3 linked regions of the Elephas maximus indicus genome follow. The protein of the gene in region 3 purifies or fractionates together with the protein of the main gene of each other region. This does not show direct contact. Links are inferred from orthologs where the notes say so. Each region holds a gene or a part of one and is shown on either strand. Other genes may lie near its edges.

Evidence for each region. Proteins that work in one complex are often made in the same cells at the same time.
Region 1: the proteins of GSK3A (region 3) and FRAT1 purify together in Homo sapiens (affinity purification with mass spectrometry; 4 studies listed by BioGRID and IntAct, with this or other methods). This does not show direct contact. The link is inferred for Elephas maximus indicus from reciprocal best matches to the Homo sapiens genes GSK3A and FRAT1.
Region 2: the proteins of GSK3A (region 3) and GSKIP purify together in Homo sapiens (affinity purification with mass spectrometry; 7 studies listed by BioGRID and IntAct, with this or other methods). This does not show direct contact. The link is inferred for Elephas maximus indicus from reciprocal best matches to the Homo sapiens genes GSK3A and GSKIP.

What each region holds. Positions count from the first base shown.
Region 1 is NC_064834.1:49,097,670-49,104,934, reverse strand, and holds FRAT1 (proto-oncogene FRAT1), read right to left. Parts: upstream 3,035-7,265; 5' UTR 2,845-3,034; coding exon 2,035-2,844; 3' UTR 519-2,034; downstream 1-518. UniProt on the Homo sapiens protein: Positively regulates the Wnt signaling pathway by stabilizing beta-catenin through the association with GSK-3. May play a role in tumor progression and collaborate with PIM1 and MYC in lymphomagenesis.
Region 2 is NC_064828.1:117,391,118-117,398,767, forward strand, and holds the start of GSKIP (GSK3B-interacting protein), read right to left. Parts: upstream 3,035-7,650; 5' UTR 1-3,034. UniProt on the Homo sapiens protein: A-kinase anchoring protein for GSK3B and PKA that regulates or facilitates their kinase activity towards their targets.
Region 3 is NC_064829.1:108,673,964-108,681,188, reverse strand, and holds the start of GSK3A (glycogen synthase kinase-3 alpha), read right to left. Parts: upstream 3,018-7,225; 5' UTR 2,833-3,017; coding exon 2,550-2,832; intron 1,504-2,549; coding exon 1,462-1,503; intron 976-1,461; coding exon 788-975; intron 1-787. UniProt on the Homo sapiens protein: Constitutively active protein kinase that acts as a negative regulator in the hormonal control of glucose homeostasis, Wnt signaling and regulation of transcription factors and microtubules, by phosphorylating and inactivating glycogen synthase (GYS1 or GYS2), CTNNB1/beta-catenin, APC and AXIN1.

The DNA of each region.
Region 1 (7,265 bases), on a different chromosome or scaffold from region 3:
CTTTTGGTTAGTAGTCGAGCACTTAATGTTTGCACCACCCAGGGAATCCTTTAATGACTGCACTAGTAAGAAAAAAACGATATGTTTCCCAGTCTGCGATGACTGATCTGATGTCCCTTGCTAACATAGTCAGAAAAAAAAAAATCATAAATCATCTCCATTACTAAACAGTAATCCAAATGGCTCTGAGGTTTGGGTGAATGGGATTGGTCCAAAGCCTGACCTCACTTTCATTGAATTTCATGCCAGGACCAATACACACCCAGCACAGACCTTGTCTAACTAGTGAGATCCTCAGTCACAAAGACGCTGTAATTACCATCTCAAAGCCAGGCTGACAGGGATTTCAGGTGTTTTCATGTTTATGGAGATCAGAGAAATGTGTTCTGTACATCTTTTCCACTGAGCGGAAGGATAAAACCAAGCAAAAACCCAACACATTTATTCAAAACGTATTTAAGATAAAATCCTATAATGAGGATAGCCACAATTCCAGACACTCCAGTGCCAAGTGTAGATAGCCACATCCAGATGATGGACAAGCCATTGACTCCTACAAAGCTAAAGCAAGAACTAGAAGGTTTTAGCTCCCTTGGAGTGAGTGCGCAGCGTGCTCCAAGCACTTCACCACGGTTCACAAAGGCAAAGCCTGCTGCTTCTCCATTTGGAGAGTAGCATTTTCTACTCGGTTTACTTCACTTACAAAGGCGAGTGGGCATGGCTGGCGGTGGGGTAGAGGGAGGAAATCAACTCCTATCCAGGAAATTGCAGCTGTTATTGCAAAAAGCCCCGGAGAGCCCATTATAAGCTGCAGTGAGAGGCTGTCCCTGGAGTGCCTGTCACGTGGCGTCTCCCCAGCCCCCAGCCCGGGCCCCCAGGAACGCCCGCGCCACCCGCTTGAGTAGGAGAGGAGAGCCGAGGGACAGAGGTGGGATCTGGGGCCACGTCTCAGGACAGTGTCCGTGACAGCCCAGAGCGTGGCCAGGGGCGGCAGCCGTCAGTGGGAAGCACAGGCTCCGGGCACAGCCCAGCCTCTCCACACCCGCGGTGGCGGCGGCGCGCGTGTCCTCAGGAGACTCCAGCAATTGCAAAACACCGCGCACTTCTCGGAGTATAGGCAGAGCCCGGCGACTCTTCTACCCTGCTGGAGCCTGGCACCGCTATGTGCGACCAGAAAACTGACCTTGACCCGGAGGAGGGGCGGGGCGGCTGTTAAAAGCCACTTTAGAGAGGACCGACGGGTCACTCCCCGCCTCACTCTACCTTTCCACCACCCAACACCTCCTGTCCGGGTCCTACTCTCCTGTCCCCAGGCTAGGAGTACAGCCTTCCCCGACGGCTCTGAAAACAGCAGCCGGCCCCAAAGAAGGGGCAGAGAAAAAGGCTACTCCTATTCAACCCTCAAAGGTTCCTTTCATGGTACGTGCGTTTTATATTAAGAAAGAGCACTTCAAAAGACATGAGGTCCTTTTTTAAATGTAAAATTTCAGGCCTGGCAGTTTGAGGTGCTCCCTGGAATTATCAATGTCTATTTGTGTTTCCCTCCCTCAAAATGGATCAGGGACCAGCCCTGAAACGGTTGATCAAGTAACTGGGATCGCCCTCCAGCCTGAGCCCAGTGAGGCCGCTGGACTCGCGACGAGGGCGTCCGGGCCCCGGTCCTGGACAGCGTCCTTCCCGAGCTCTGCTGTCCTGAGTAGGGTGGACTGTAGTCACATGGCCACCAGGCTGTAGGGCCCTGAGAAGCTAGCTGCAAGGAACTGCACGCTGCGCCACCAGTACGTGTCTTATTAGGACTGGGGTTGCGAAATGTAATCTGCCTTGAATAGGGCCAAGACCTGTATTTCAAAGAGAGGGGCGCTTGTCCCCAGCTCCCCGCGGAAACCTTCGCGATTTTCCTATTCCTCGTCTTCATTAGCTTATATTTTCTGCTTTCAAAGGCGCGAGTTCTCCGTTAGTCTCGAGCAGGGCTGCAGTCCCGTGGGTACCCCCGACGCCTAGTCTGAGGCTGGCGCTGTGGGTACCCTGGGCTTGTTAGCTGCTGGGGACAAGAACTCTGTCTGCAGTTCTGAGCGGCGCGCTCCTCCTGGACGCGCCAGGGTCACTACAGGCTGCGCGAGAGCTGCGGGGGAGCACAGGTCCCGGGAGCCGGCGTTGGGGAAGCTTTGCATATAAATGCAGCCGTCGCGAGCGAAGCCTCCGCACTGCCTCCTTGATGAGGTTTCCCGAGAGTAGGAGCTGCTGCAGGAGACGGTGAGAGTCGTCGTCGCTGGTGCGGCCTTTGGCCCGGGGCCCGAGTCGCTGTCGTAGACGGCGGGAGGCGGCTGCACCCCGGAGCCATCCTCGCCGGCACCGCCCGGACAGCTGCCGCGAGGCGCCCGGCTTGCCGGATCCGGGAGTTCCTTCAAAGCCGGGCTGAGGGGGTAGTAGTGACAGCGCCGTGGGGCCGGCGGCAAACTCGGCCACTAAGTAGGGCGCAGCCCAGTCCCGCACGCTGCCGCAGTCCCCGAAGGTGCTATACAGGGCTCCTAGGTTCGTGGCCTCGACCGATGAGGGCGGCAGATGCAGCGGCAGCGCCGGGGGCCGGGCCCTGTACGCCGGCACCTCAGCCAGGGGCAGCGGTGGCTGCAGCGGCTGCCACGGCGGTGCGCACAAGGAGGCCGGGCTGTCCTGCGCCGGGTCCAGCTGCAGCGCCTCGCCTATCTGGGCCACTAGCCGGTCCACCTCGGCCGATCCGCCCAGCCTCGCTGGCTGCTCCAGCAGGAGAAAGCTATCCTCCTGCTCTTTTTCCTCCCCCTCCGCTTCCTCGCCGGCTTTCTCTTCTTCCTCCCTGCGGCACGGCATGGCCCCCGGCCCGGGCACCCGGAGCTCTGCAGGCGTCGTCGGCGGCCCGGCTCCCGTTAGGGTTCGGTGGGCCGCAGCAGAGCCGGGAGTGATCCTGACGCCAAAGCCAGGGCCGGGGATGCGGAGGACTAGGAAGCCGGAGCCCGCCAGGCGCTCGCTGCGCGCCTGCAGTCGCGGGAGCCAGAATTCTACCCGCTGTTAGATTTGTAAACAATGGGTGACGTAGCGCCCGGCCCTACCACAGCGCGGGGACTGGGGGTGGTGTGTCATTCGAGGGCAGGGGTCCTGCAGGTCTGGGGTTCAGGTTGAAGCCCTGCTGCCTCTGAGCTCAGGATGGCCGAGTGCGGTGTGCGGGAGTGCACTGGGGAGCTGATCCTGGCTTTCTTAGCCAGCAGTGATAGGCATTTCCAGAAGTTGGACACCGACGCGGACACCATTGGTTTCTTCCACACACAAGCACATACACTTAGACACACACCAACACACACCCCTTCTCTCGGCGCGACAAATATTGTTTTAACCTTCGCGCTTTCGTGATCCTGGGTGCTGGTGCTTGGAGAGTGATGACGAGAAGTGCTGGAGAGGCAAAGATGGAGAGGTGGGGGAGCCAGGCAGAGGGCCTGGCTAGAGGTTAGGAAAACAAGGCTGACTGGGATGGAAGGTAGGAAGGGACACTTCGGTGCAAGTGGTAATGGCGGAGTTGGAATTGGCAAAGACAGGCCACACATTAAGGTGATTAGTGTTTCTTGATCAGGCGGATGGGCGTGGGGGGCCTGGACTAGGGCTGGAGTTGCTGAAGACAGAGGAGAAGGTTGACGGGCTTGGGGGGGGCCGTGAGCTAGAAAGGCTTCTTTTAAGAAAAATTCCGCAGCCCAGTAGGGAGGATCCCTGCTGAGGTGCTAGCAGGAGGGGAAAATGGAAAGCTGTTTGGTTAAAAATGGAGATGTGGGTTAGCTTAACCTTTGTAGATATTATGGTTGGCTTAGTGGTAAACCAAGACTTCATTTTTAACCAAAGGAGCAGAAAATGATCCTTTAGTGTCATGTTGCTTGGGGATTTTGGACTGTTATTCAAAATTCCAAGCCCTCCAGGCCTAACTTTCAGACACTGCATTTATAGGTAAGCTTTTGGTGGACCTGCCTTTAAAAGCCAACCAGGCCATCACCAACTGAATTATGGTGATGGCTGCACCACTAAGTAAATTCACTAAAAATAATTGAAAGTTCTCTTCAGATGACTGAATTTTACTGCATATAAATTACATTTTGGAAAAGTTGTTTAGGAAGCCTGCTTGGCTGCTAAGCAAAAGGTTGGAGGTTTGAGTCCACCCAGAGGCATCTCATAAGAAAGGACTGGAGATCTATTTCCAAAAAATCAGCCACTGAAAATCCTACGGAACACAGTTCTGTCTGATACACGTGGGGTCGGTGTGAATTGGAATCTACTCAACAGCAACTGGTTTTAAAGTTGTTTTAAAAATTAGCCACAAAGCACACACCCACAAACACACAGAATCCAACAAGGAGAGTTCGGACTCTGTGCAAAGCAACAGGGTGCTTGTTACTTTATCGATAACAGAGGGGGATGCTTTAGAAAGGGGATGCAAGAGGGAAAGATTGGGGGCCAGGGATCCAGATAACAAGTAGAAATCGAGGGTATTGGTGAGTGGTGCTGAGGATGACACTTAGAGTAATAATCCTTTAGGAAGTGGTGGAATGGAATGAAATCCTGGACAACTTCAGTATTTTCTCCATTTATCATGATGTTGCTCATTGGTCCAGTTGTGAGGATTTTTGTTTTCTTTATGTTGAGGCGGAATCCATGCTGAAGGCTGTGGTCTTTGATCTTCATCAGTAAGTGCTTCATGTCCTCTTCACTTTCAGTAAACAAGGTTGTGTCATTTGCGTATTTCAGTTTGTTAATGAGTCTTTCTCCAAACGGGATGCCCTGTTCTTTTTCACATAGTCTAGCTTCTCAGATTATCTGCTCAACATACAGATTGAATAAGTGCGGTGAAAGGATACAACACTTTCATACTGTTCCTGGTTTTAAACCAGGCAGTATTCAGCTTGTTCTGTTTGAAAGACTGCCTCTTGGTCTATGCACAGGTTCCACATGAGCACAATTAAGCGTTCTGGAATTCCCATTCTTCACAGTGTTGCCCATAATTTGCTATGATCCACACAGTCATATGTCTTTGCATAGTCAATAAAACACAGGTAAACATCTTTCTGGTATTCTCTGCTTTCGGCCAGTATTCATCTGACATCAGCAATGATATCCCTTGTTCCATGTACTCTTGTGAATCCTGGCAAATTTCTGGCAGTTCCCTGTTTATATAGTGCTGCAGCCCTTTTTGAACGATCTTCAGCAAAATTTTACTTGTGCATGATATTGCTTGATAATTTCTGCGTTCTGTTGAATCGTGTTTCTTTGGAATGGGTGACCTTTATTAGGTTGTAAATGTTTCCTTCCATTCCTGATTTTTCGAGTGTTTTTATCGTGAAAAGACCAACAACTTATTTTAAATTGTTCATTTGAGAATGTGGTCAAAGCAGCCATTTATTAGCTATACTATTCTGAACCTGATTCTTTAAAATTTTAAGATGAAAATAAATAGGAGCAGTTTCTAATCTCTGTTTTTATTCTTTGGTTCAGGATTTATAAGCTTCAAGCGTTTTTCTGGGGTTGAAAATGGTATGACTGCTGCCTTAGTCATCTAGCGCTGCCATAACAGAAATACCACAAGTGGATGGCTTTAACAAAAAGAAATTCATTTTCTCACAGCCTAGTAGGTTACAAGTCCAAATTCAGGGCGTCAGCTCCAGGGGAAGGCTTTCTTAGTGGTATGAGGTCCTCAACTCTGGTTGCTTCTCTTTCGTTTAATCTCCAAAATGTGGTGCAGGCCACATCCCAGGGAAACTCCCTTTACATTGGATCAGAGAGGTGACCTGAATAAGAGTGGTGTTACAATCCTACCCTGATCCTCTCAACATAAAATTAGAATCACAAAATGGAGGACAACCACACAATACTGGGAATCATGGCCTAACCAAGTTGATACTCACATTTTTGGGGGGACATAATTCAACCCATTACCCAAAAAACCCAGTGCCGTGGTGTTGATTCCAACTCACTGCGACTCTATAGGACAGAGTAGAACTGCCCCATAGAGTTTCCAAGGAGCGCCTGGAGGATTCGAACTGGCGACCGTTTGGTTAGCAGCTGTAGTACTTGACCACTATGCCACCAGGGTTTCCTAATCCATGACAGCTTATAAAATAAACAGTATCACCTGTGAGTACTGTGCTCCTTTGAAAAATCATCTGTGTGAGACCAAACTTGTCAACATATACTCTAAAGAAAGATGAGAAGGTAAGGAGAGGGGGGCAGGGAAATTTGATTAATGGAAACAGAATAACCAGAATGGAAATAATGATAATTTCGATACACTATGAAAAATGGGAAACCCTGGTGGCCTAGTGGTTAAGTGCTACAGCTGCTAACCAAAGGGTCGGCAGTTCGAATCTGCCAGGCTTTTCTTGGAAACCCTATGGGGCAGTTCTACTCTGTCCTATAGGGTTGCTATGAGTCGGAATCAACTTGACAGCACTGGGTTTGGTTTGGTTGGTTTTGTGAAAAATGTAACCAATGTCACTGAGCAATTTATATAGAAATTGTTAAGTGGGAACCTAATTTGCTGTGTAAACATTCACCAAAAACACAATAAAATATTATATAAAGAAAATCATCACATGAATCAATCTGAATCTTTTACTTTTGACAAACTTCTTTTTGGAATTTCATTCTGGGTAGAGCATTGTTTTACAGATTGTGGGGTCCCGAAAGCTACCGTTTCCCAACAAAGGTGATCCAGCCGAATGTGGAAATTATAGAACAATATCATTAATATCACACGCAAGCAAAATTTTGCTGAAGAGCATTCAAAAACGGCTGCAGCAGTATATCGACAGGGAACTGCCAGAAATTCAGGCCGGTTTCAGAGGAGGACGTGGAACCAGGGATATCATTGCTGATGTCAGATGGATCCTGGCTGAAAGCAGAGAATATGAGAAGGATGTTTACCTGTGTTTTATTGACTATGCAAAGACATTCGACTGTGTGGATCATAACAAATTATGGATAAATTGTGAAGAATGGGAATTCCAGAACACTTAATTGTGCTCATGAAGAACCTTTACATAGATCCAGAGGCAGTTCAAACGGAACAAGGGGATACTGATGGGTTTAAAGTCAGGAAAGGTGTGTGTCAGGGTTGTATTCTTTCACCATACCTACTCGATCTGTAGGCTGAGCAAATAATCTGAGAAGATGGACTATATGAAGAAGAATGGCGCATCAGGATTGGAGGAAGACTTATTAACAACCTGCGTTACGCAGATGACACAACCTTGCTGGCT
Region 2 (7,650 bases), on a different chromosome or scaffold from region 3:
CTCACACCCATGTGTTGATGGGTATTAACAGAAGGCTGAAGGGGGATCCCTGTGTATCTCCACCTGGCGCTCTAGCTCTCTCTGCAACTCTCTACATTCTAATAATCTGTCCTAACTACCTTGATCTTCCCAGACTCCTAGCTCCATGTCCTCAGCTTAGGGACCCTGCTGGGCTCTCCAGGGTTTTTCCTTCCCGTGCTGTGGTCTGTAAAGTCCTTCCAGGCAGTAAAATGGGGAAACTGTAGGGCTTACCTTGTTTACTGTCTCTCAGAAATCACTCTCCTTCAACGCCTACTGTTCAAAGTCCTGAGAACTTCTGTTTCATATATTTGCCAACTTTTCTGCTGTTTCAGTTGGGAGGGTCAATCCAGTCTGTTAGTTTATCTTACACAGAAGTGGAAACCCCATCAGCCAATTTGAGGTAACTTTGAAATCTTATATCTTTTCTTTCATTGACTACATATACTTTGGTCTCTACGATATTACTTTGAACCAACTTTACCATCTTGCTGGTTCCTTCATTAACGAGTTAAATACATTTTTGACACATACTCATTATACAATGCTTTGTAAGCCACACTTTTAAAAAACTGTGATTTAATACTATTTTGCAGGCTTTTAGTCCTTCAAAATTCAGCTCAAATCCACCTATTTCAGGGGCTGTCTCTGATCTCAAGACAGTTACTATCTCCTTGGCACTGTCTGTATGGGCACCGCCATACTTACCATACCTCACTACACATGATTTTTATGTCTTTACTACCACAGGCCCGTAAGGACGGGGACTTGTGTGTATCACCTGCACAGTGTCTGGCATAAAGCAGGTCCTCAATGAATATCTTATGAATGAATAAACCAAAGAAAAAATTCTAACACTTCTTCCCAGGCTGTGGTACTCAGCTCTGTGGCACACAAAACCACAGAATGAGCATGGTGGGCATTCCTGGAAAACACCTTACACAGCCAGAGTAACAACCTAACGGAGGACAATGCAGAACTGCCTAGAATTCTGAAGGAAAAAAACACAAATATTTTGAAGTCTCAAGCCACACTTCCACACCTTTGGGCTTCCTTTGCCTCTGAAGAGAATATGTGAGCACAAATTTGAGAAGTACTGATCTAATCCAAGGAAGCCCACTGCAACTGAGTTGATTCCAACTCATAGCGGCCCTACAGGACAGGGCACAACTACCCCTACAGGTTTGCCAAGGAGCGGCTGGAGGATTCGAACTGCCGACCTTTTGGTTAGCAGCCGAGCTCTTAACCACTACACTACCAGAACTAACTAAAAAATTCTAGGCATTGGCACTGGGCCTGGGGCAGGAATGAGAGTTGGTAGAAGGGTTAGTATTGAGTCCTTCTCTAAATCTTTACCACTCTCTTCCACTGAAGTTATTGTTCTTCTATTAAAAGTTAAGGTAATAATTAACGGCTTAATTTTTTTTAATAGTCTAACTTTTCTATGGTGAAAAGAACACAGTATTTTTAGTAAGAAAAGAACTTAAAGTTATGATACATTGGAAAATACAGGATCTAGGGTGCAGAAAGATTTTTCTTCTTAGATAATATGGCCTTGGTGATAGATACAATGCTGGAGATCGAGTGATAGGATTCTGCAAGACCAACGACTTCTTCATTGCAAATACCTTCTTTCACCAACATAAACGGTGACTACACACATGGACCTCACCAGATGGAACACACAGAAATCAAACTGACTACATCTGTGGAAAAAGACGATGGAAAAGCTCAATATCACCAGTCAGAACAAGGCCAGGGACCGACTGTGGAACAGACCATCAATTGCTCATATGCAAGTCCAAGCTGAAACTGAAGAAAATCAGAGCAAGTCCACGAGAGCCAAAATATGACCTTGAGTATATCCCAGCCGAATTTAGAGACCATCTCAAGAATAGATTTGACGCACTGAATACTAGTAACCGAAGCCCAGACGAGTTGTGGAATGACATCAAGGACATCATACATGAAGAAAGCAAAAGGTCATTGAAAAGACAGGAAAGAAAGAAAAGATCAAGATGGATGTCACAGGACACTCTGAAACTTACTCTTGAATGTCAAGCAGCTAAAGCAAAAGGAAGAATTGATGAACTAAAAGAACTGAACAGAAGTTTCAAAAGGCAGCTCGAGAAGACAAAGTAAAGCATTATAATGACGTGCAAAAAGCTGGAGATGGAAAACCCACGGGAAGAACACACTCAGCATTTCTCAAGCTGAAAGAACTGAAGAAAAACTTCATGCCTTGAGTTGCAACAGTGAAGGATTCTATGGGGAAAATATTAAACGACACAGGAAGCATCAAAAGAAGATGGAAGGAACACAGAGTCATTATACCAAAAAGAATTAGTAGATATTCAACCATTTCAGGCGGTGGCATATGATCAGGAACCGATGGTACTGAAGGAAGAAGTCCAAGCTGCTCTGAAGGCACTGGCGAAAAACAAGGCTCCAGGAATAGATGGAATATCAAGATGTTTCAACAAACAGATGTAGCGCTGGAGGTGCTCACTCATCTGTGCCAAGAAATATGGAAGACAGCTTCCTGGCCAACTGACTGGAAGAGATCCATATTCATGCCTATTCCCAAGAAAACCGAATGTGGAAATTACAGAACAATTTTATCATCAATATCACACACAAGCAAAATTTTGCTAAAGATCATTCAAAAATGGCTGCAGCCCAACATCACTCTAAATGGAGAGAACCTGAAAGCATTTCCCTTGAGAACGGGAACCAGACAAGGATGCCCTTTATCACCGCTCTTATTCAACATTGTGCTTGAAGTCCTAGCCAGAGCAATTAGGCTAGACAAAGAAATAAAGGGCATCCAGATTGGCAAAGAGGAAGTAAAATTATCTCTATTTGCAGATGACACGATCTTATACACAGAAAACCCCAACGAATCCTCCAGAAAACTACTGAAACTAATAGAAGAGTTTGGCAGAGTCTCAGGTTATAAGATAAACATAGAAAAATCACGTGGATTCCTCTACATCAACAAAAAGAACATCGAAGAGGAAATAACCAAATCAATACCATTCACAGTAGCCCCCAAGAAGATAAAATAGTTAGGAACAAATCTTACCAAGGATGTAAAAGACCTATACAAAGAAAACTACAAAGCTCTACTACAAGAAATTCAAAAGGACATACTTAAGTGGAAAAACATACCTTGCTCATGGATAGGAAGACGTAACACAGTAAAAATGTCTATTCTACGAAAAGCCATCTATACATACAATGCACTTCTGATCCAAATTCCAGTGTCATTTTTTAAGGTGATAGAGAAACAAATCACCAACTTCATATGGAAGGGAAAGAAGCCTCGGATAAGCAAAGCATTACTGAAAAAGAAGAAGAAAGTGGGAGGCCTCACTCTACCTGATTTCAGAACCTATTATACAGCCACAGTAGTCAAAACAGCCTGGTATTGGTACAACAACAGGCACATAGACCAGTGGAACGGAATTGAGAACCCAGATATAAATCCATCCACATACAAGCAGCTATTTGACAAAGGCGCAGAGTCAGTTAATTGGGGAAAAGATAGTCTTTTTAACAAATGGTGCTGGCATAACTGGATATCCATTTGCAAAAAAATGAAACAGGACCCATACCTCACACCAAGCACAAAAACTAACTCCAAGTGAATCAAAGACCTAAACATAAAGACTAAAACAATAAAGATCATGGAAGAAAAAATAGGGACAACCCTAGGAGCCCTAATACAAGGCATAAACAGAATACAAAACATTACCAAAAATGATGAAGAGAAACCCGATAACTGGGAGCTCCAAAAAATCAAACACCTATGCTCATCTAAAGACTTCACCAAAAGAGTAAAAAGACCACCTACAGACTGGGAAAGAATTTTCAGCTATGACATCTCCGACCAGCACCTGATCTCTAAAATCTATCTGATTCTGCTAAAACTCAACCACAAAAAGACAAACAACCCAATCAAGAAGTGGGCAAAGGATATGAACACACACTTCACTAAAGAAGATATTCAGGCAGCTAACAGATACATGAGAAAATGCTCTCGATCATTAGCCATTAGAGAAATGCAAATTAAAACCACGATGAGATTCCATCTCACACCAACAAGGCTGGCATTAATCCAAAAAACACAAAATAATAAATGTTGGAGAGGCTGCGGACAGATTGGAACTCTTATACACTGCTGGTGGGAATGTAAAATGGTACAACCACTTTGGAAATCTATCTGGTGATATCTTAAACAGTTAGAAATAGAACTACCATACAACCCAGAAATCCCACTCCTCGGAATATATCCTAGAGAAATAAGAGCCTTCACACAAACAGATATATGCACACCCATGTTTATTGCAGCTCTGTTTACAATAGCAAAAAGCTGGAAGCAACCAAGGTGTCCATCAACGGGTGACTGGTTAAATAAATTGTGGTATATTCACACAATGGAATACTACGCATCGATAAAGAACAGTGACGAATCTGTGAAACATTTCATAACATGGAGGAACCTGGAAGGCATTATGCTGAGCGAAATTAGTCAGAGGCAAAAGGACAAATATTGTATAAGACCACTATTATAAGATCTTGAGAAATAATATAAACTGAGAAGAACACATACTTTTGTGGTCATGGGGAGGGGGAGGGAGGGTGGGTGGGAGAGGGTTTTTTTACTGATCAATTAGTAGATAAGAACTGCTTTAGGTGAAGGGAAGGACAACACTCAATACATGGAAGGTCAGCTCAACTGGACTTGACCAAAAGCAAAGAAGTTTCCAGGATAAAATGAATGCTTCAAAGGTCAGCGGAGCAGGGGCGGGGGTTTGGGGACAATGGTTTAAGGGGACTTTGAAGTCAATTGGCAAAATAATTCTATTATGAAAACATTCTGCATCCCACTTTGAAATGTGGTGTCTGGGGTCTTAAATGCTAACAAGCGACCATCTAAGATGCATCAATTGGTCTCAACCCTCCTGGAGCAAAGGAGAATGAAGAACACCAAGGTCACACGACAACTAACAGCCCAAGAGACAGAAAGGGCCACGTGAACCAGAGACCTACATCATCCTGAGACAAGAAGAACTAGTTGGTGCCCAGCCACAATCGATGAGTGCCTTGACAGGGAGCACAACAGAGAACCCCTGAGGGAGCAGGAGATCAGTGGGATGCAGACCCCAAATTCTCATAAAAAGACCAGACTTAATGGTCTGACTGAGACTAGACGAATCCTGGCGGTCATGGTCCCCAAACCTTCTGTTGGCACAGGACAGGAACCATTCCCGAAGACAACTCATCAGACATGAAAGGGACTGGACGGAGGGTGGGTGAGAGATGCTGATGAAGGGTGAGCTGATTATATCAAGTGGTCACTTGAGACTGTGTTGGCGTCTCCTGTCTGGAGGGGGGATGGGAGGATGGAGAGAGTTGGAAGCTGGCAAGATTGTCACGAAAGGAGAGACTGGAAGGGCTGACTCATTAGGGGGAGAGCAGGTGGGAGTACGGAGTAAGGTGTATATAAACTTACATGTGACAGTCTGACTTGATTTGTAAACATTCACTTGAAGCTCAATAAAAATTAATATAAAAAAAAATGGCTGCAGCAGTATATTGACAGGGAACTGCCAGAAATTCAGGCCAGTTTCAGAACAGGAAGTGGAACCAGAGATATCTTTCTGATGTCAGATGGATCCTGGCTGAAAGCAGAGAATACCAGAAGGATGTATACCTGTGTTTTATTGACTACGCAAAGGCATTCGACTGTGTAGATCATAACAAATTATGGATAACATTGCAAAGAATGGGAATTCCAGGACACTTAATTGTGCTCATGAGGAACCTGTACATAGATCAAGAGGTGGTTGTTTGGACAGAACAAGGGGATACTGATTGGGTTAAAGTCAGGAAACGTGTGCATCAGGGTTGTATCCTTTCACCATACCTATTCAATCTGTATGCTGAGCAAATAATCCGAGAAGCTGGACTATATGAAGAAGAACAGGGCATCAGGATTGGAGGAAGACTCGTTAACAACCTGCCTTATCCAGATGACACAACCTTGCTTGCTGAAAGTGAAGAGGACTTGAAGCACTTACTAATGAAGATCAAAGACCACAGCCTTCAGTATGAGCCTTCACCTCAATATAAAGAAAACAAAAATTCTCACAACTGGACCAATGAGCAACATGATGATAAATGGAGAAAAGACTGAAGTTGTCAAGGATTTCATTTTACTTGGATCCACAATCAACAGCCATGGAAGCAGCAGTGAAGAAGTGAAAAGACACATTGCATTGGGTAAATCTGCTGCGAAAGACCTCTTTGAAGTGTTGAAAAGCAAAGATGTCACCCTGAGGACTGAGCTGCGCCTGACCCAAGGCCAGGTATGTTCAATCGCATCATATGCGTGTGAAAGCTGGACAATGAATAAGGAAGATCGAAGAAGAATTGATGCCTTTGAATTGTGGCGTTGGCAAAGAATGTTGAATATGCCATGCACTGCCAAAAGAACAAATCTGTCTTGGAGGACGTACAACCGGAATGCTCCCTGGAAGCAAGGATGGCGAGACTGCGTCTTGCATACCCTGGACATGTTGTCAGGAGGGATCAGTCCCTGGAGAGGGACATCATGCGTGGCAGAGTATAGGGTCAGTGGAAAGGAGGAAGACCCTCAGTGAGGTGGATCAACACAGTGCCTGCAACAATGAGCTCAAGCATAACAACAACTGTGAGGATGGCCCAGGACCAGGCAGTGTTTCGTTCTGTTGTGCACGGGGTCGCTATGAGTTGGAGCTGACTCGATGGCACCTAACAACAACTATTAATAAAGTTAAAATAACTAGCAGTTACCAGTTCCAAATGAAAGGAGAGGTTTGAATTTAACCTGCATTTCAATGTTCTGAACATAAAGGTCAATAAAGTTAATCAACCAAAATTAGTAACACTTAGAATTCGTTGTTAGGTGCTTTTGAGTTGAGTCCGACTCAGAGTGACCCTATTTATGACAAGAGTAGAACTGCTGCAGAGTTTCCCCGGCTGTAATCTTTACAGGAGCAGATGGCCAGGTCTGTAGTCCCACGGAGTGGCTGGTGAGCTCAATTAGCAGCCAAGGGTTTAACCACTGCACCACCAGGGCTCCTGCCTTAGAATTTAGGCAAACTAAAAGCTACTTAAACTTTTATTTCATGTAACACATAACATTTGATCTCTTTTCAATAGTTCTGAAACATGTACCTTGACTGTGAAATTAAACATTTAAAATGAGAACCCTTTGTAGCGTTACAAATAGAAAGTTTAGTTAAACAAAGGTGGTTTGTTTTTCCACTGACGTATCTATTTATAAAGTTTCTTTGCATTCCCCTCTCTGCAAGGACAGACACACACACAACCTGGTAATTACAGATTATGCAACCGGTTTTACATCGTGCCGTTTCTGATCAAGGTGGGTGAAGAAGCACACAGTGTTAATCTGAGAAACCTTTTAAAATGTAAATAAGCAGCAACATGAAAACCCTGTAAGCAACCTTTTGTTCAAAACCAGAAACTGTAAATGAGATTTCTAAGAAAAGACTCTCAAAACTGAATGTTTAAAAAATAAATCCCAGGAATTACAGGTTTTTATTTCTGTATAACCCTCTAGAA
Region 3 (7,225 bases):
CCTTTGCACACCAGTTATTCCTCTACTTTCTTCTTCTCCATCTTCTTCTAGTGCCCTGGGCCTCCACTAGCCCATTGGGCACCTTCACATGAATGAGAGAAGGGCATCCGGCAGCAAAGTGCAGGGTTTGGTGAGCGCAACTCGCCAAGCACCTGGGGCAGAGTGGACCTCCATGGCCCTGCCAGTGTCCTTTCTCCTCTGGGAAGAAATGTAACTAGAAGTTAAGGTGCAGGGCCTGGCAATCAGACAGGCCAGACTCCAACCTTAACGTAGACGCTTCCTATGCAATTCGCTTATCTGAGTCTCAGTTTCTGCCTGCTTAGAACGGGAATAAGGACAGTACCAACCCTCAGAGAATATGTAAATTAGCTAAAAGCTTGCCTATGAAGCATACGTTACACGTGTCACAGAGTAGAACAAAGCTCTGCAGGATCTTCTTGGCTGTGATCTTTAGGGAAGCAGATTGTTCGGTCTTTCTTTCTGAGGCACTGCTTAGATGGGTTCAACCACCAACCTTTCTGTTGGTAGCTGAGCGCAAACCGTTTGCACCACCCAGGAACCTCATAAAGCACTTACGCAGAATGAACGCTCAACAAATGTCAGCTCTGGTATCTCCAGGATTCAACACTTCCTGTCTTCCCTACACCTCGTTCCCTTCTTTACCCCTTTCTCCTCTGGGCCATGATTGGATCTCCTGTGGAACCCAGGCTCCATCTGTTTTGCTAGGGCTCTCGCACCAGGTTACGTCCAATGCCCAACTCTCCTCTTCCCATTCCCCCCTAAGTACCTTGAACCTCTTGTCCTGGAGAACCTTCTTGATGGCCACCAGCTCCCCGGTCTCGGCCAGCCGTGCCTGGTACACGACCCCAAAAGAGCCATTGCCAATCACCTTGATGTCTGTGTAAGCCACCTCCTGGGAGCGCTCTGGGCCCTGGCCTAGGGTGGCTACCACTGTGGTCACTTTCCCGCTGTCACCTGGGGGACAATGGGGACAGATGATCCACTGACATTTCCCCTCTGGCCACCACCCCATCCCAGGGCTGTGGGGAGGGGGCCTCTTTGTTCCTTCCCCCTCCTTGAGGCAAGGTGGATGCTGGAACCCTCCCAGTGAAACCCTAAATCCTGCCTCTTTCCATAGGGGAGCATGTTGACACCTAAATCTCTTCACTGTTCAAGAGCTGATAATACAACTTCCATTCTAGAAAGCAATAAATGGCTGGTCACTCTTGGTTGAATCCATCTACTCTGGGTTTATTGACTTTTAACGGAACGATAACCCTGAGATACTCCTATTTTGAGAAAACGCCTGCGGGGCTAGTAATTTCTAAGTTTCTCAGGTAGAGCTAGTAACTTGGTGACAAAAACGAACGACCTCTCCTCATAGAGTGGTGGTACCCTGACTCTCACTTTTGGAGGAGTTACCCCTTACCCAATTACTACGGGGTTAGAAAAGGCACTGACCTGACCTCCTCATCTGGGTAGTCCAGGGCCCCAGACTCCTACCTGACAGACAAGCACCAAATTGTGAGAATGATGAACTTAATCCCTATCATCAGGGGGCTCTCCCAGCCTCAGTTCTTTAAAGAAAAACTATGACTCCCAATCCCCATTCTCTGAAGAGCAGCAAACTTTGGAACCATTCTTAGAGAATAGTGACCCCTTTTCTTTTGAGAACTGAGGACCCAGTAACAGCGATTCTCTTTTGGAGAGAGATGACCCTACATCACTTTTTCAGACCCAGTGGCACCATACTCCAGAAAAATTACTAAGAGAATTACGACTTCAAATCCACATTCTAGGGAGGACTCTTCCCCCCCCCCATTCCATTTTTGTGAAAAAACACCCACCGATCCATGTTCTTTAAATAACAGTGGATTTGAAAGGCATGGTGACTCTCAATTCCTGTTCTGTGGGGGGCTGGTGACACCTGTCCTTATTGCTCAGATGCAATAATCAATAATTTCCACCATTGGGGGTTTAGTACTACATATTTTGGGCCGGTGATGACGCCCGACCAGGTGTTTTAAAAGGGAAGATGACCTGGTTATCAGGTTTAGAAAACCCTTGCCCTGTTCTTTGGGACACAATAACCCCAAATCCCCGTTTGTAAATGATACTGAATCCAGATCCCCAGTCTTTGAGAGACAACAAATTCGGATCTCCCTTTTTGGAGGATGGCGATCTTATTCTTGTTTTCTTAGAACACAATAATCTTAGGCCCCCATTTGCAAAGGACAGTGACCCCAAAACCTGTTCTTTAAGGGATACGAATATCCAAACTTGTTTTTAAAACTCAAAAACGCGAGACATTGGTAATGGAAGAGCACGGACTGTAGCCCGCTTCTCTAAAAGTTAATAATTCTGACTGTAAACTCTAAATAATGGTGACCCCAAAATTCATTTCTCTGAAAAGTAAAAAGCTCAAACGCCAGTTTTGGGAGGCACAATGACCTCAGGCTCTTATCTGGGTATATGAAAGAACCTGATCGACATTTGAGGGACCCCGGGAATCCCAATCTCCACCTCCCACGGGAGCAGCCAGTACTCACGGCCCAGCTTCACTCCGGGCGGCGGGAAGCTGGTGCCCGCGCCTGGGCCGCCGCTGCCTCCTCCGCCGCTGCTGTTGGGGCCACCCCCGGAGCTCGAGGTCCCCACGCCCGCACCCATGGCCCCGACCGACGCCTTCCCGCCGCCACTGCCGCCTGGACCGGAGGCCGAGCCCCCGGGGCCGCCACCGCCGCCTCCGCCTCCGCCGCCCGGTTCCGCGAACGAGCTGGTCCGCGCCCGGCCCGAGCCCCCAGGGCCGCCCCCCGAAGGCGCGCCACCGCTCATGGCGCCGAGCGCAGACCCAGGCCAAGGGGCTCGGGCTCCCCGGGCTGCCCCCGCCGCCGCTGCTGCTGCCGCCGCCTCCTCAGTGCTCCGGCCTCCTTCAGGCCGCGCCGCTCGGGCTCCGGCCCAGCGCCCGCCGCGGAGCACGTCGGGAGATGCAGTCCGCTTGCTTTGCGCGTCGGTGTCACCGCCGTCGGCCCGTAGAGAAAGCCGCGTGGTACGCCGGGAAATGGAGTTCGCAAAGGCCACAGGGAAGATGGCGGGGGACGACGGGTCGCACTGCACGCTGGGAAATAAATTCCTGGGCAATCCATCGGTGAACTGCAGACGGCGGAACGCGAAGCACTTTGGAACATAGTCAGGGCCCCACACTTATTACACTGCGGCAACGGCGAGCCCCGAGAGGTGCTTCAGAAAAGTAGTCGCAGGCACTCCGTCAATGAGCAGTGTCTGGTGCATGCCGGGAATTGGAGTCCGGTAACCAGTGAATACCGGCTCCAGGTGCACACTGGGAAATTGAGTCGGTCCGTAGACTTGAAGATATCGAACCGTGGGGCAAACTGGGAAATGGAGTCGTGGCCGCGCCCACACCGCATTGCGGATGTAAAGGAGTTCCCAAAGCAAGCCGGGAAATGGAGTCCTGTGAGGTTCCTCAGCCCCAGGGGGTACTGCAGTTCCGGAGATAGGCTAGGAAATGGAGTTGGAACCTCGTCCCCCCTCCCTTGTACGCTCCGCCGCACTTCCTGTCGGGAAATGTAGTCGACACCAAGGCGTCAGCGCAGTTGCTACACGAGGAGTGGTGGCTTCTGGGGATTGAAGTTCAAGGTAGCCTCCCCATTGGCGGGGGGAGGGGTGAGGAGAAGAGGAAGGTTGTCACTTTGAGCCTGAAGCACGCTGGGGAATAGTCCAGGGTCCAGGCCGGATTCTGACCCCCCCTCTGTGAAACGAGACCGCAGGGGCTTGCCGGGAAATGGAGTCCAATGACTACCACTGAGCCAGATGGCACTCCCCTTGAGATACTGAAATGTGTTTCAACGCCTCCTTTTTTGTCCCCCAGGACCCAAGAAAGTGCCGAAGTCGATCGGGGGATGTTGAAAAATTGAGTCCGAGCACTCAAGTTCCAGGTGTCCTTACATTAGGCAGAAAAAGAAAAACATCCCTCCTCTAAAAGATTTGGGAAACAGTCTTTCAGAACACAGTTTTCGGATACGGTCTATCTTTTTCTAACATGTGTCGCACTACGAGGCTGAGCCAAGCGTTAAAAGAAATGAAAATAGAATTTGTCTTGAACCCCCACTCAGCTCTTTGCGTCCGCCCGCATCCTAAGTTACAGGATCCTGGAGGGCTCACAGGAGCTCGAGTGGCACAGTGATTAAGCCTTCGGCTTCTACCCAAAGGTCAGTGGTTGGGAATCCACCAGCTGCTCTGCGGTAGAAAGATGGGGCACTCTGCTTCCGAAAAGATGTAAAAAAAAAAAAAAAAAAAACAGCCTTGGAAACCCTGGGGGCAGTTCTGATCTGTCCTACAGGGTCGCTATGAGTCAGAATTGAATGCACGGCATTGCGTTTTGTTTGAGGTTCGGAGCGCTCAAAACAGCGAAGCCAGCTGCAAGCTGTAGCCTAGGGTTGGTGTTCGTTGAGTCGCCTCATCAATTAAACGAGAAGGAGCGTAACCCCAAAGTGCGCTGGGAAACAGAGTTCGTCTGTGCGTGCATGCGTGCGTGCGTGCGTGCGTGCGTGCGTGCGTGCGTCTCACCCCCAACACTTGAAACTAGAGCGAAAGCGCTCTTGGCTCCTCCTGCCTCGTGGAATGGTGGGAAATGGAGTCTTTGGACGCTAATCCAAGCCTCAGGTAGCAGAACTGTTCTGCTCTTTTCTGAGGCCTAAAGAAAATCCCGTCCACTCAGTGTGTTTCTAACTGCAATTCCCAGCAGACACAGCGCCCTGGGGCGAGATTGGCTTTAGCGCTAAAACCTTTTCGGACTACATCATCCAGAAGGCAAAACGCGGGCACGCTCCGTTTCTTTCTCACGGCATGAGGCTGTATCACGCATAGCTTGAAGCAGGTGTTTCTGGGAGTTGTAGTTTCTCGCTAAGCGGCGCCTGCTGCCCTCTGACGGCAGCTTGGAGCAGGAAAGTAAAAATCTGAGCCAAGCGCCAGGGCCTGGAGACCACACTGGACAGGACGGAGGTCGACAAGGCCGGCAGAGCGGGGCAGGGTAGCGGCGGTTACTTAACGGCCAGAACATACGCAGTGGGCTCCGCGTAGGCAACCGCTGCTGAGGTTATTGGGGCCCATGGGAGTCTGAGGGCGACGATCTAAGGGCATCTGTCAGGATGTTTGTAGGGGCTGAAAACATTCATAGACAGGTGCTAGGGATGGGTTGTGTCTATGAGGGGCCTAACGGTGTCAGGAGGGTTTGAGGGTTTGAAGAGGTGAAGGGATCTTTGATGGGCTGTAGGCACCTGAGAGCAATTATTGGGGACAAGCAGAGAAGTCTGAGGGGACGTAAAAGGCTTTTGGGAGATGGAGAATCTACTGGTGTCTAAGGGATCTCTGAGGGACCTGAAGGGTTGAGGGATGGTTGAGAAGCATCAGGAAGGGGCTATAGGGATCTGTCGGGGTGCTGGGGGCTATTAGATGTGAAGAGGGTCTCTGATGAGGTAAGTGAATATGTAAAGAATCTATAAAGTACTTTATACTTGTAGCCAAAGACTTCAGAGGAGATGGAGAGAACCAAGGGTGTCTTGCAGGACACTTTAGTATTTCAGGCCTGTGAATAGATTTAGATGTGTCATTCAAGATTGGGGGAGCCACTGGAGTTGTCAAGCCCAGATGCTACCTGACATCCCCTTATCCAGAATCTGGGACAAGAAGGCTGATAGGACTGTGGTCTGATCCTGGAGAGCAGTTCTGGAGCTGAGAACGTTTTAATCCATTTTAGAATTGGTTAGCAGTGTTTGAAAAAAACTCTTCATGAGCTAAGGGTCCTACCCCCCTTCCTCCAGTGACACCCCCCTTTCTCCATCACCCACCACCAATAATTTCTCAACTGCATCTGTGTTGCTAGGAGACATGCCTCAGCCCAACTTCCAGAAATAACCCAGCACAGCCGCTCCCAGGGGCCCCCACCCCAGGGAGTGACTTACATCACCCAGGAGAGGGAGCAGTTGCCCGCAGCCCGCCATAGGAGTCTGGATTTCCTGCCAATACCCCATCCCTGGATCCTCTTCACTGCCATTATCTGGGACCACCCACTCTGGGCTTGCATGAGATGAGGTTTAAGGGAGAGTGGGTAGACAGTTGCCAATGTTCCATCCCCCTCAGGCTTGCACCGGGTGGTACTGCAGTGAAGCCAATCCAACAAGCCCTAAGCCCTAAATGCCATGGCCTTGGGGAAACCCCTTCTCTTCTCTTCCTCAAGGACCTCACTTGCACTGAAGAGGTTGAGCTTGTCTCTAAGGAAACTTTAAACCCGGATTTCTCACGGATTATTTGATCCCTCATCCTACAAAGCTCTCCAATCTTGGTTTCTAACTTTATCCTGTGATCCCAAGTCCCTGATCTTGATCCAACCATCTTGGCTTTAAGGAGGAAAACTCAAAGGAGTTGTTGAAAGAACACTGGCTTTGGAGGCTGATCTCATTTAAAGTCCTGGCTCTGCTTCCTACCGCCTCTTGGCCTTGGGCAAGTCATTTAACTGAGCTGGTTGCCCCTACCTTGCTGGGTCTTGAAGGAGATAAACCACTGCAGCTTCTAGCTAGGTGCTGGGCACGAAGTAGGTCAATGAATGGTTAACTGTGGTTATCAAACCAGTCCCTCCTCAACTTGCTGGCTGGGGGCGTTTCCACTAAGGTACGTAGTAAGGTCTAACATTTCAAGATGTTTCAGGACTTGTCTCCCAGGGATTTCCTGATTTGCTTAGAAGTGACCTAAGGCGAGATATGGGGGCAGTGCAAAAGCACTCCCTGGCCCTCACTAGGGACCTCAGGGTATGGGAACTTGGAGCCAGGGCATTTCAGGTGACCAGAACAGTGAGAGCAACTCGGTGGTGGCGATAAGTCCCAAGCACTTTTCCAGGAATAAAGAAGCAGTCAGATACAGGGCCAGAGTCTGCTGAGACCTGAATCATTTCTGAGGTCAGGAGGTCACTTCCCAGGCCCGGATTTGACCCATTTAGACCAGGCCACAGACCCACTGCAGGTGCAGGGAAGTCCAGGGCCCTGTCTTTTGAAAATCAAGCCAAAGCTGTGGCCCCGTGGTGCCTACACCCAGCACCCAGGACAGATCACTGCATGAAAAAGGTCCGAAGTTTTATTGTTTTGAATACATTCTCCAGCAGCCCCTCCCTACCTCCCACCCCCCCATCCCCAATACAGAATAAGGCTTGACCACA